Linked DNA regions of Canis lupus familiaris. The main gene of each other region encodes a partner of the protein of the gene in region 3 in a complex. Links are inferred from orthologs where the notes say so. Each region holds a gene or a part of one and is shown on either strand. Other genes may lie near its edges. The genes, in order: OBSL1, CCDC8 and CUL7.

Region 1 (3,522 bases), on a different chromosome or scaffold from region 3:
GCACCTGACGCCGTCCTGCTGCCCTGTGCCCTGCCCTACGTCGAGAGCCTCGGTCCAGACTGAGTGATTTAGCCCCCCCTTCCCGCACCCCCTGCCTTCCAGATAGTGTAGCCTGGCACACACCAGCCACAACGCCTTTCTGCACACGTTCCACCCTGTAGCGAGGCCCTTCAGGCTCTGGCCAAACATAATGGCAGCTACACACATTTCAGCCCACACTTGGCCTCCCCACAAAACACCAGACTCTTCGCAGGGAAGTTGACACAAGCACCACCTCGGCTTTGGGCCAGGGAGGATCAAGTGTGATGCCAAGCTGAGGTCCCACAGCTGTGCAGACAGCCCAGCCCCAGCCCCACACCCTGTCTCCACCGACTGTGCCCACCGCCTCCCCTCCCCCACCCAGGCAGCCCCGCTCTGCAATCTGCCAGGGAGCCAGCCTGCATCCTCTGGACTCTAGAACAGGCCGTTAGGGAGGTGGGTCGTTAGGGAGGTGGGGCGTGGAGGCCGAGGACTTGAGTGTGTGCTGGCGAGCACGTCAGCCCGCGCGCAAAGAGTGGGGCCGGGAAGCTGGCAGTTCCCGAGCCTCGCCGCCAGGCGGCTGAGCAGTAAAGGCGTCCTAATAGTGTCCTGGAACCTAGAATCTGGGAGACGTCCAGGGTGCGTGGGAGCCCGAGCTACCTTGGGGCCCGGCGCACCAGTCACTTCCAGGCTTGACACAGATCCTTTTTCTGTGGAGGAGTGACCAGTTCTGAGCGGTTGGAAATGAACTCCCAGAATCAGGGTTTAGCGTCCCCGGGGATCTCAGACAGGTGTGGGCAACCCCCCCAGGCCCAGATGCAAACATCGTTACTGGGCTCTGCCGGCCTTGGCTTGCGATCCCTACCACTGCTTGCAGAGTCGGAGCCTCCCTTTCGCAGATGGCAGTTCTTCCTCCTGCCCCAGAGTAGGCGTAGTCTGCTGTGATCTGAAAGAGGTTGGGTGATCACTCCGTGCCTCAGTTTCTACATCTGGAAAACAGGGATAAAACCCTACCTACCTCTCCAGATTGCTGTGAGGGTTCAGTGTGTAAAGCGCTCAGGCCTGTTCTGGAGCCTGTTGGCTGTTACAGATCCAGGGTCTCTTATTCACAGCTCTGACCTAAAAAAACTTCTTAAAAGCAAGACTTTCTGCAAGTTTGGGGTTCAAAGCCATGGCAGTAGGACCTGAGCTTAACTGCTGTGAAACTGGTTCTACTCTTTAATTCTCCTGCTGAGAGCATGTCCATGTGTTACACTGCAGAGAAGTTGGCGGGGTCATTGGTGGGGAGCATGCCCGGGGCAGGGAGGGGTAGGAGGAGCAGGTGATCTAGGATTTGTGATCTACGATTAATGCGCCATCTCTGGGATCTGAAGCGTTCTGGGTCCTATCACAGCCCTGGCCTCAGGGATTTCAGATGGTGATCCTTATCACTTATTACCGTGAGCGACAGGAACTTCGAGCTGCCAGGGAGGCGGGTGGTGAGTTTGTGACAGCTTGTGACCCCACCTCCACCCCACAGAGCCCCCCGTGCGCATCATATACCCCCGGGATGAGGTGACTTTGATCGCCGTGAGCTTGGAGTGCGTGGTACTGACGTGTGAGCTGTCTCGGGAGGATGCCCCCGTGCGCTGGTACAAGGACGGGCTGGAGGTGGAGGAGAGTGAGGCCCTGGTGCTGGAGAGTGACGGGCCACACCGCCGCCTGGTGCTGCCCGCGGCCCAACCGGAGCAAGGGGGCGAGTTCGTGTGTGACGCCGGAGATGACTCTGCCTTCTTCACTGTCACTGTCACAGGTGGGCCGTCTCTGGGCCCCCTGGGGAGCTAGAGACGCAGGAGGCTAAGGGACAGACACCTGACCTCCTCACTTCCTGCATCTTAGGGGCCCCCCATCTGGCCCAGGAAGCCTGCCCTCCCCCAACTTCCTCATTCTCAGCCATCTGAGAGCGCTGGCTTGCCCAGATCAGGCCATGACAGTGACTCGAGGTCTGGTGAGGACAGCCCAGCAGTTAGGAGCATCCATTCATCAAATATGTATTGAGCAACTACTATGTGCTCAGCCCAGTTCTGAATGCTGACAGAGTAGCAAGCCAGTAAGAGCAAAGCTCCAGTTCTCCACTAGAATTCGAGGATTCGAGGACGGACAGACAACTAGTAGGTGATAAGTCCGTCAGAGGCTAATCGGGGACAGGGGGTACGGAGTGGGCATGGCTTAGGGAGGGGTGTGCGTTGGGGTAGGGCTGGGTCTACCTCTTTCTGTCCGTGGGACCTTGGGCAAGCCACTTTCCTCCAAAGAGTCCTCGAGTCCTTATCTGTAAGGTGAAGCCAACATTAGCGCCCTTCTAGGGAATCAGGAATAGCTGTGGAAAGAGCTCAGGGTGCCCAGCACAGCACCTGGCACGCAGTAGGTGCCCATGGATTGGGGCCAGACCCAAGAGCTGCGCTGGGAAGAGAGAGGGCTGAGGAGCCGGGGGCCAGGCAGGTGGAGGCCTGCTGGCTGAGCCTGAGCACCTCTCCCTTCTGTCCGCCAGCCCCGCCAGCAAGGATCGTGCACCCGGCAGCCCGCTCCCTGGACCTGCAGTTCAGGGCTCCGGGGCGCGTGGAGCTGCGCTGCGAGGTGGCCCCTGCTGGGTCCCAGGTGCGCTGGTACAAAGATGGGCTGGAGGTGGAAGCGTCCGACACGCTGCAGCTGGGAGCCAAGGGGCCTGCTCGCACCCTGACCCTGCCCCACGCCCAGCCTGAGGACGCCGGGGAGTACGTGTGCGAGACGCGTGATGAAGCCGTCACCTTCAATGTCAGCCTGGCTGGTGGGTGCCTCCTGCCAGCCTGGGTGCGGGGGATGGGGTAGTGGACCCCAGCCGACAAGCTCCTCTCTCTGTCCAGAGCCCCCAGTCCAGTTCCTTGCCCCAGATGCAGCCCCTACCCCCCTCTGTGTGGCCCCTGGGGAGCCGGTGGTGCTGAGCTGTGAACTGTCCCGGGCTGGCGCCCTCGTCTTCTGGAGCCACAACGGGAGGCCGGTGCAGGAGGGCGAGGGCCTGGAGCTCCGTGCCGAGGGCCCCCGCCGCATCCTCCACATCCCGGCTGCAGACCTGACCCACGCAGGCCTCTACACCTGCCAGTCCGGGTCGGCCCCCGAGGCCCCCAGCCTCAACTTCACCGTCCAAGTGGCTGGTAAGTACGGCCCGGGCAGACAGCCTGAGAGAGTTGTACCCCCAAACCCATACGAGTCTCCCCCGCTTCTCTAGCATGCCTCGTCCATCCCTCACCCACCTCTCAGTATCTTACGTCCCACTCCCTGCTCGCCCCCTGCCCCGTAGCCCTCAGGCCTCTCCCTCCCAGTGACCCCCAGCTCTGACCCCACAGAGCCCCCCGTGCGCATAGTGGCCCCCGAGGCAGCCCAGACGAGGGTTCGCAGCACCCCAGGCGGGGACCTGGAGCTGGTGGTGCACCTCTCAGGGCCGGGGGGCCCCACACGCTGGTACAAGGATGGGGAGCGACTGGCGAGCCA
Region 2 (4,126 bases), on a different chromosome or scaffold from region 3:
GACTCCCTGCTGGGCAGGGAACCCAATATGGGACTCGATCCCAGGACTCTGGGATCATGACCTGAGCCAAAGGCAGATACTTAACTACCTGAGCCACCCAGGTACCCCGAGTAGGTGATATTTACATCCTCAGCTATAAATGGGAATGATCGGACCCCTGGGTGGCTCAGTACGCTAAAGCGGCTGCTTTGGGCTCAGGTCATGATCCAGGGGTCCTGGGATGGAGCCCCACCTCTCCCTCCCTGCTCAGCAGGGGGTCTGCTTCTCTTCTCTCTCTGTTCTCTTTCTCAAGTAGATAAATAAAATCTTTTAATAAAATAAAATAAGGGATCCCTGGGTGGCGCAGCGGTTTGGCGCCTGCCTTTGGCCCCGGCGCGATCCTGGAGACCCGGGATCAAATCCCACATCAGGCTCCCGGTGCATGGAGGCTGCTTCTCCCTCTGCCTGTGTCTCTGCCTCTCTCTCTCTCTCTCTCTCTCTCTCTCTCTCTCTCTCTGTGACCATCATAAATAAATAAAAATTAAAAAAATAATAATAAAATAAAATGGGAATGATCATATTACCTGTATCATAATGTTATAGGGAGGATTTCATGAGTTAGTCTGCAGAAAGCACTTAGAATGGTGTCTAAGGACGCAGGAGACGCTCCATAAAACCTGACTCTCCTTTTCACCGGATGCTTCTTTTTACAGAGCTGCATAGTCTTTCAATGCGAGAACCGTACAACCAAGCCAGCGCCTCCTGATGAACACTTCGGTTCCTTCCTTCACCCCCACAATCTTTATTGAGCACCTACCGTGTGCCAAGCCTGGTGCTAGAGGCTAGCGCAGTTACGATCCTGGTACTAATCTCTCCACCGACCTGTAAGGAGGTCGGAACCTGTATGGCTAAAGAGGTAGGGACCTCTTGGTACCCAAAGTCACATGATGTGAAGTGGTCACCTCCAGTGCCAGTGGCTGGTACCCAAGGTCACATGGTGTGAAGTGGTCACCTCCAGTGCCGGTGGCTTTCCAAAGGACCGCCCCGTGAGCACCGCCACCTCCAGGGCTCGGCTGGAAGCCCCGGCTTTAGCAGGGCAGGTTAGGGAACTGCCGCCTTTCCCCCAGGGAAGGTGCTGACGTGGGCCCCGGCGGGGGCGTCCGCCTCGGGAGCGGTGGCCCCAAGGAGGCCCGGAGCGCGGCCACACCCCTGTGGGGGAGGGAATAAGGGCGCCCCGAAGGGAGTGGACAGCCCCCCTGTCAGTCTTCCCGAGTCCGGGAGTGTAAGATGAGAAGGGGAAGGTGGGCCTCCCCGAGGGGAGAGCGAGGAGGAACTTCCTGCCCGCGCTCCTCGGCGCTGAGCGCTCGGGCTGGGGAGGCTGTGGGCGCGTCAAGGTCGGCCTGGGACTGGGGTGGCCGCCTGCCCGGGGGCGGGAGACCCTGGGGGGCCGGGCTGCGGCCCCCAAGCGCCTCGGCCTTATTGAAGAGCCGTCTTCGTGTGCGAAGGCCTCTCCCAAGCTGCGGGCGCGTCCCGAGGCAGGAAGAGCCACGGGGCAGCCCGTGCGCCCCCACTAGCTTGGAGCCGGGACTCCACGTCTGCAGCTGGCGGTGGGCTTCGAGCCCCAGGACTCGCCTCTCCCGGGCTCACGTAAGCATCCTGGGGATTGATTCCCGCCAGTCCTCGGTGGTGGGCGGGGAGCCGGACTCGGTCAAGACTGGACTTTGTGGCGGGCAGAGGAGTCGGGAGGGGCTGGCTCATCCTTGGCTGCAGAGGTGAGACCCTCCCCGGGGGCAGTTCTGCTGGGACCCCCACCCCCAAGACTCAGGCCTATTTGTAGTTTGGGGTCGTTGCCCCCAGCCCAGATTTCACCCTGGAGATCTTAAAGACCCTCGAGAAAAGCCACGTGGGGGGCTGGTTCCCCTGGGGCTTCCTCCCATCCCCCGACTCCCTGATCCTCTGGAGCGTCCCTGATGTGTGCAAAGATGTGGATCTGGACGTCCTCGTGGAAGCCTTGAAGCCCGTTGGGACCTTTAAGAAGATTGGCAAGGTGTTCCGCAGGGAGGAGGACTCCACGGTGGGGATGCTGCAGATCGGGGAGGACGTCGACTATTTGCTCATCCCCCGGGAGGTCAGGCTGGCCGGAGGCGTGTGGAGGGTCATCTCCAAGCCTGCCACCAAGGAGGCGGAATTTCGGGAGCGGCTGATCCAGTTTCTGGAGGAAGAAGGCCGCACATTGGAGGACGTGGCCCGCATCATTGAGAAGAGCACCCCACACCCGCCCCAGCCCCCCAGAAAGCCCAAGGAGCCCGGAGGGAGGAGGAGAGTCCAGCAGATGGTGACCCCTCCCCCACGCCTGGTCGTGGGCACCTATGACAGCAGCAATGCCAGCGACAGCGAGTTCAGTGACTTCGACACCTCCAGAGACAAGCGTGACAAGGGTGACAAAGGTCACAAAGGTGCAGGGCGCAGCAGGAAGGTGCGCAAAATGCCAGTCAGTTACCTGGGCAGCAAATTTCTAGGGAGCGACCTGGAGAGCGAGGACGACGAGGAACTGGTGGAGGCCTTCCTGCAGCGAGGGGAGAAGAAGCCCAGCGCGCCACCTGCCCGCCGCCGGGTGAACCTGCCAGTGCCCATGTTCGAGGACAACCCCAGGCCGCAGCTGTCCAAGGCTGACAGGTGGCGAGAGTATGTCAGCCAGGTGTCCTGGGGGAAGCTGAAGCGGAGGGTGAAGGGTTGGGCGCCCAGGTCCAGCCCCGAGGTGGGCGAGGCCCGGCAGGCCTCTACCAGGCTGGAGAGGGTTGGGGCGTCCATACTGGGCAGAGCCAGCCGGGGGGTTAATGTGGGCAACACAGGAGCTGAGCAGGTGCCTGAGAGTCCCCCAAGACGATGGAGGCCCAAAATCAACTGGGCCTCTTTTCGCCGTCACAGGAGGGAAGAAGCAGCATCCACAGAGGAGGGGGCAGAGGTTGTAGATGATCAGAGAGCAGAGGCTGCAGATGATCAGGGGGCTGAGGCTGCAGATAATCAGAGGGCAGAGGCTGCAGATGATCAGAGGGCAGAGGCTGCAGATGATCAGGGGGCTGAGGCTGCAGATGATCAGGGGGCTGAGGCTGCAGATAATCAGAGAGCTGAGGCTGCAGATAATCAGAGGGCAGAGGCTGCAGATAATCAGAGGGCAGAGGCTGCAGATGATCAAAGAGTAGAGGCCATACCTGTCCAGGGGGCAGAGGCCATAGCTGTCCAGAGGGCAGAAGTTGCAAGTAGTCAGGGGGAAGGGGCTCCAGATAATCAAAGGGCAGAGGTCCCAGTTGTCCAGGGGGCAGAGGCTGCATCCGATGGGGCAGAAGCCATAGCCAACCAGAGGGCAGAAGCGGCACATAACCAAAGGGCAGAAGCCCCAGCTGCCCAGGTGGCCACAGGGACAACCCAAGGAGCTAAGGCCCGGAAACAGGTCAAGACAGTGAGGTTCCAGACCCCTGGACGTTTTTCATGGTTTCGCAAACGCCGGAGAGCCTTCTGGCACACTCCCCGGTTGCCAACCCTGCCCAAGAGAGTCCCCAGGGCAGGCGAGGCCAGGAGCCTTAGAGTGTTAAGGGCAGAGGCCAGAGCAGAAGCAGAGCAGGGAGAGCGAGAAGACCAGCTGTGAGGTGAGGGCAGGGGTGCCCTGGGGCTCGCAGCCACCTGCCATACCATCACCACTCTGGGCTCGGCCCTCCCTCCCCTGCACTTGGGTGGAGATGCCCTTCCTGCCACCATACTTGAAAATGCAAGTGGACAAGGGTCGGGCAGTGGTCCTCCCATCTCCACCCAGCACCCATCTTTCCTGTTAAAAGTTTATCTTTCATGCATTGATTTTTTGTTTTTAAAGACTCTTTCTAGTCACCCAAGGAATGTAAAGAAACAGAGCCATACAAAGGGGTTGCATCACTCATGATTTTAACTTCTCAAATGCGACTCTAGGTGCTCAGCTTGGCGGGGGCAGGATGCTAGGGAGAAATTTCCTCCCCTCCCCCTTTCTCTTCTTTTCTCCTGCACACTTAACATTGACCGCCTCCTTGAACTTAAGAAAAAAGGGGCTCGAGCCGACATGCAAATAAAATGCTTACCACGTGATTTCCTGGCTCTGGACTGGGCAGCTGAAGAATGC
Region 3 (4,068 bases):
CCTAAAGGGCAAAGCAAGGTCAGGGTATGGGCTATGTCGCCCTGTAAATTTTCCCCCGCCTCCTCGTTTGTGGAAGACAGCAAAGTGGCTTCCCTCTTCCCCAGGGACATGTGGTGTGCTGCTTCGGAAAGTGAATGGGACAGCCATCATCCAGCTGCCATCCAAGAGGCAGATGCAGGTGTGTGTGAGTATAGGTGGGAGGGATCAGCAAAGGAGGAATTATCGGAATGCACCTTTCTTGTCTGGGATAGTTCCCAGGTGTTTTAGGAACCACCCTGAGCTAGGTGTGTCCTTTTCTGCCATGTGACCAGGCATGCCCTGTCAGGCTGGCACTATAATGGGAGAGGGAATAGTGCCTTTTGTTTTCAAATTACCATAGGACCTGCACTCAGGTTCGATGATGCTGTGGTTTTTTCCTGTCCTCTCCCTTCTCTCAGTGAGTGTAAGAAGCCTCCCCAGAGTCAGGAAATCAACGTCATGTTCTTTCCCAGTGGTGCATTCTCCTCCATCCGCTTTCTCCGTCAGGTTCTGGAAACGTGCATGGCAACAGTGGGCCGGGTATCCAACGTTGATCATAACAAACGGGTCATCGGCAAGGCTGGGCGGAACCGCTGGCTGGGCAAGAGGCCTTCCAGCGGGCTATGGCACCGAAAGGGGGGCTGGGCTGGCCGCAAGATTCGACCATTGCCTCCCATGAAGAGTTATGTCAAGCTGCCTTCGGCAGCTGCCCAAAACTGATATCGCTGAATTCTAATAAAATCGCTCCTATTTTTATCTGTTACTGTTTTTTGGGGAGGGAGGATGGTACATACTAGACCTGGGGGAGTGGGGGAACACAGGTGCAAACAAGGATGGAAGAGAAAGGAAAGGACGTTATGCGGCGAAGACTGGAGCTCTTCCCCTCTTTTCTAGCCACCCCACCCACCCCCGACTCGTGGGGGTTTTTTTGTTTTTTTGTTTTTTTTTAAATATAATGGGAGGAGGAGGAATAAATGACCTCCAAGGTCTTCTTCGGTTCTGACTTCGGGAATTGGAGAGAACACTTCCGGTGGGAGGAGGGAATACGGAAAGGAAGAGGAAAGGGCGGCGCAGAGGAAAAGGTGCCGCCCGTTGCCGAGGTGGCACCGGCGACTCCGCCCCAGCGCTCTCCTAGGGCCCCCAGCTTTCCGCTGGGTCAGCGGAAATGAGCCGCAGCTCCGGGCGGGTGGCGGAGCCCCAGAGCTGGGCGGGCGGCGCCGCTGGCTGAGCCCGGTCCCGCCTCGCCCCGGCGGCCGCTGACCTGTGCGCGCGGGCGGTGACAGTGGCCGCCCGGGGGTGCTCGGTCTCTGCGCGCCACGCCCCCGCCCGTCCTTCGGAGGCACGCCGCCTCCCGCCTCTCCGCTTAGACCCCCTCGGGGGCCCAGGCGGGGCCCAAACCTCTGCCAGCATCGCCGCCATCGTCTGCGCTGCGTCCCTAGCTCAGCGAAGGACAGGCCTCGCGCCGGGACCCCCATCGACTTCTGAGGTGGCCAGAGCCCCGCCGCGGCCCCTGCCCCTACCCTGGGTTTTCCTCTGCACACTCGCCCACCGGCCCCGCGCCCGCTCGATCTCGCGTCCCCCTATCCTACTTCCACAGTGCCTTGGGGTTCTCGTTTATCCCGTCTAGCCTCCTCCCCTGCACCTTCCCACGCGCCCCCAGCTCCTCGGGTCCACCTGCCTCTCGCCGCTCACCCACCGTGTCTCCTGTGCACCCCGTCCTGGGTCTCCCGTCGCCCCCACCGGCCCTGCTGCTCCAGTGTCCCCAGTCCTCGCCTCTGCTGCCCACCAGCGTCTCCTCCCGGCCCATCGCGCCTTGCCCTCACCCCACCCCAACCCACCGACAATTCTCCGGATCTCTTGTCTCTTTGACACACTCCTGCGCTTCAACCATCAGACCTAATGTCCTTTTCCAGGCACTCAGGGTCTCACTCCCCAACACACATAGCCCACCCCCACACCCCTCCGGGCTTTATTTATCTCCTCAGGGCTGCTGCCTGTCCCAGGGCCTTGGGATTCACTTGTAACTCCAAGGTTGCCCTGCCCACACTGTCCCCTTCCCACTGCTCCAAACCAACCCACTCCAGTTTGCAGGGCCTTCAAAACCCCCTTTCAACCAAATTTTGTGTTCTTAGAACAAACACCCCAGTGTTCCCCTGCTTAGGTCTGGCCCCACCCAGCCTGCAGCAGGCAACTCCTGGGCCCTGCTTTACTCCAGCCAACTGGACAGCTGTTACCACATTTGCTTCCCCAATTCCTGGACGTCCTTGATTTTCTGAACTCCCACTCTCATTTTAGCTTGCCTGTTCTCTTTTCCTTGTGTGTCTCAGGTGCCAGAATGGTGGGGGAACTCCGCTACAGGGAATTCAGAGTGCCTCTGGGACCTGGCTTGCATGCCTACCCAGATGAGCTGATCCGCCAGCGGGTAGGCCACGATGGGCATCCTGAGTACCAGATCCGCTGGCTCATCCTCAGGCGTGGGGATGAAGGGGAAGGGGGCTCTAGCCAAGTGGACTGCAAGGCTGAGCATATCCTACTGTGGATGTCCAACGACGAGATCTATGCCAACTGCCACAAGATGCTGGGCGAGGACGGCCAGGTCATCGGCCCCTCTCAGGAGATCACAGGGGAGGCTGGGGCCCTGGACAAATCTGTGTTGGGGGAAATGGAAACTGATGTGAAGTCTTTAATTCAGAGGGCCCTCCGGCAGCTGGAAGAGTGTGTGGGTACCATCCCTCCTGCTCCTTTACTTCACACTGTCCATGTACTCAGCGCCTATGCCAGCATTGAGCCCCTGACTGGGGTATTCAAAGACCCAAGGGTCCTGGACCTGCTCATGCACATGTTGAGTAGTCCTGATTATCAGATTCGCTGGAGTGCAGGCCGGATGATACAAGCCCTGGCCTCCCATGATGCTGGTGAGGAACAGTGTGGGGAGAAAAGAAGGGGAAGCTGGTTAGCTTGGGGCCTCACATGACACTGTGGCAAGAGCCTCTGCCTCATCAGTGCCTGAATAATTCTGTTGTCCTTCTCTTTGAGTTGGAAGAAAAGGAGATAGGAAGGTAGATAGGGACATCTCTGTAGGAAGAGGAAGGGACAGGTTGTGGGTTGGGTGAGGGAGTGCCTGACTGGCTCATTCAGAAGAGCATGCAACTCTTCATCTCAGGGTTGTAAGTTCACCTTTTGGGGCATAGAGTTTACATTTATTTATTTATTATTTAATTAATTTATTTATTCATAGGGGTGGGCAGAGACATAGGTAGAGGGAGAAACAGGCTCCATGCAGGGAGCCCGATGTGGGAGTCGATCCTGAGTCTCCAGGATCATGCCCTAGGCCTGAGGCAGGTGCTAAACCACTGGTGCTAAACCACTGAGCCACCCAGAGTGGATCCCTAGAGTTTACTTTAAAAAAAATTAGAAAAGAAAGAGAAAGGACTGAATCCTCAAGAATCTCACATTAATCGAATCTCTACGCAAAGGAAGAGTTAAGGTATTTGATTACTGTAGGATATATATGTATATGAAATATGAATATAGGAAAGATAGTAAGTTTTTTTTAAGCTAATTAGCAAAACATTTCATCCCCAAAGGGTGACAAAGGGATTGGACTGAGAGAGAAGAGGGTCTAGGAGGGATGCCCGGAAGGGCAATGTGAGCAGTTACTGACTGGGTGTGAGTTTCAGGGACTCGGACCCAGATCCTTCTGTCACTAAGCCAGCAAGAGGCCATTGAGAAACACCTGGATTTTGACAGCCGCTGTGCTCTACTAGCTTTGTTTGCACAGGCCACACTCTCTGAACACCCTATGTCTTTCGAAGGCATCCAGCTGCCACAGGTATTCTGTGGGGAGGTTTCGGTAGGGGGGTGCTATAAACAAGACCGAAGTACCAAGCCTTTTTACCTGCCCTTAAAGGATGGTGTGGAAAGAGGAGCTAAAGCTGGGACAAGGTGGATGTAGGCCAAAGATTGCATCCTACAGGTCCCAGGAAGGCTACTCTTCTCCCTGGTGAAGCGCTATTTGCACGTCACTTCCCTTCTGGACCAGCTGAATGA

Evidence for each region.
Region 1: CUL7 (region 3) and OBSL1 share a complex: the UniProt entries of both Homo sapiens proteins name them as parts of the 3M complex. The link is inferred for Canis lupus familiaris from reciprocal best matches to the Homo sapiens genes CUL7 and OBSL1.
Region 2: CUL7 (region 3) and CCDC8 share a complex: the UniProt entries of both Homo sapiens proteins name them as parts of the 3M complex. The link is inferred for Canis lupus familiaris from reciprocal best matches to the Homo sapiens genes CUL7 and CCDC8.

The regions. Positions count from the first base shown.
Region 1 is NC_049258.1:25,941,675-25,945,196, reverse strand, and holds part of OBSL1 (obscurin-like protein 1), read left to right. Parts: intron 1-1,537; coding exon 1,538-1,810; intron 1,811-2,545; coding exon 2,546-2,821; intron 2,822-2,897; coding exon 2,898-3,185; intron 3,186-3,377; coding exon 3,378-3,522. UniProt on the Homo sapiens protein: Core component of the 3M complex, a complex required to regulate microtubule dynamics and genome integrity. It is unclear how the 3M complex regulates microtubules, it could act by controlling the level of a microtubule stabilizer.
Region 2 is NC_049222.1:110,057,537-110,061,662, reverse strand, and holds the start of CCDC8 (coiled-coil domain-containing protein 8), read left to right. Parts: upstream 1-1,317; 5' UTR 1,318-2,059; coding exon 2,060-3,625; 3' UTR 3,626-4,126. UniProt on the Homo sapiens protein: Core component of the 3M complex, a complex required to regulate microtubule dynamics and genome integrity. It is unclear how the 3M complex regulates microtubules, it could act by controlling the level of a microtubule stabilizer.
Region 3 is NC_049233.1:11,759,607-11,763,674, reverse strand, and holds the start of CUL7 (cullin-7), read left to right. Parts: upstream 1-1,253; 5' UTR 1,254-1,504; intron 1,505-2,345; 5' UTR 2,346-2,353; coding exon 2,354-2,933; intron 2,934-3,698; coding exon 3,699-3,850; intron 3,851-3,994; coding exon 3,995-4,068. Other genes in the region: MRPL2 (39S ribosomal protein L2, mitochondrial), read left to right, coding at 1-178, 526-738. UniProt on the Homo sapiens protein: Core component of the 3M and Cul7-RING(FBXW8) complexes, which mediate the ubiquitination and subsequent proteasomal degradation of target proteins. Core component of the 3M complex, a complex required to regulate microtubule dynamics and genome integrity.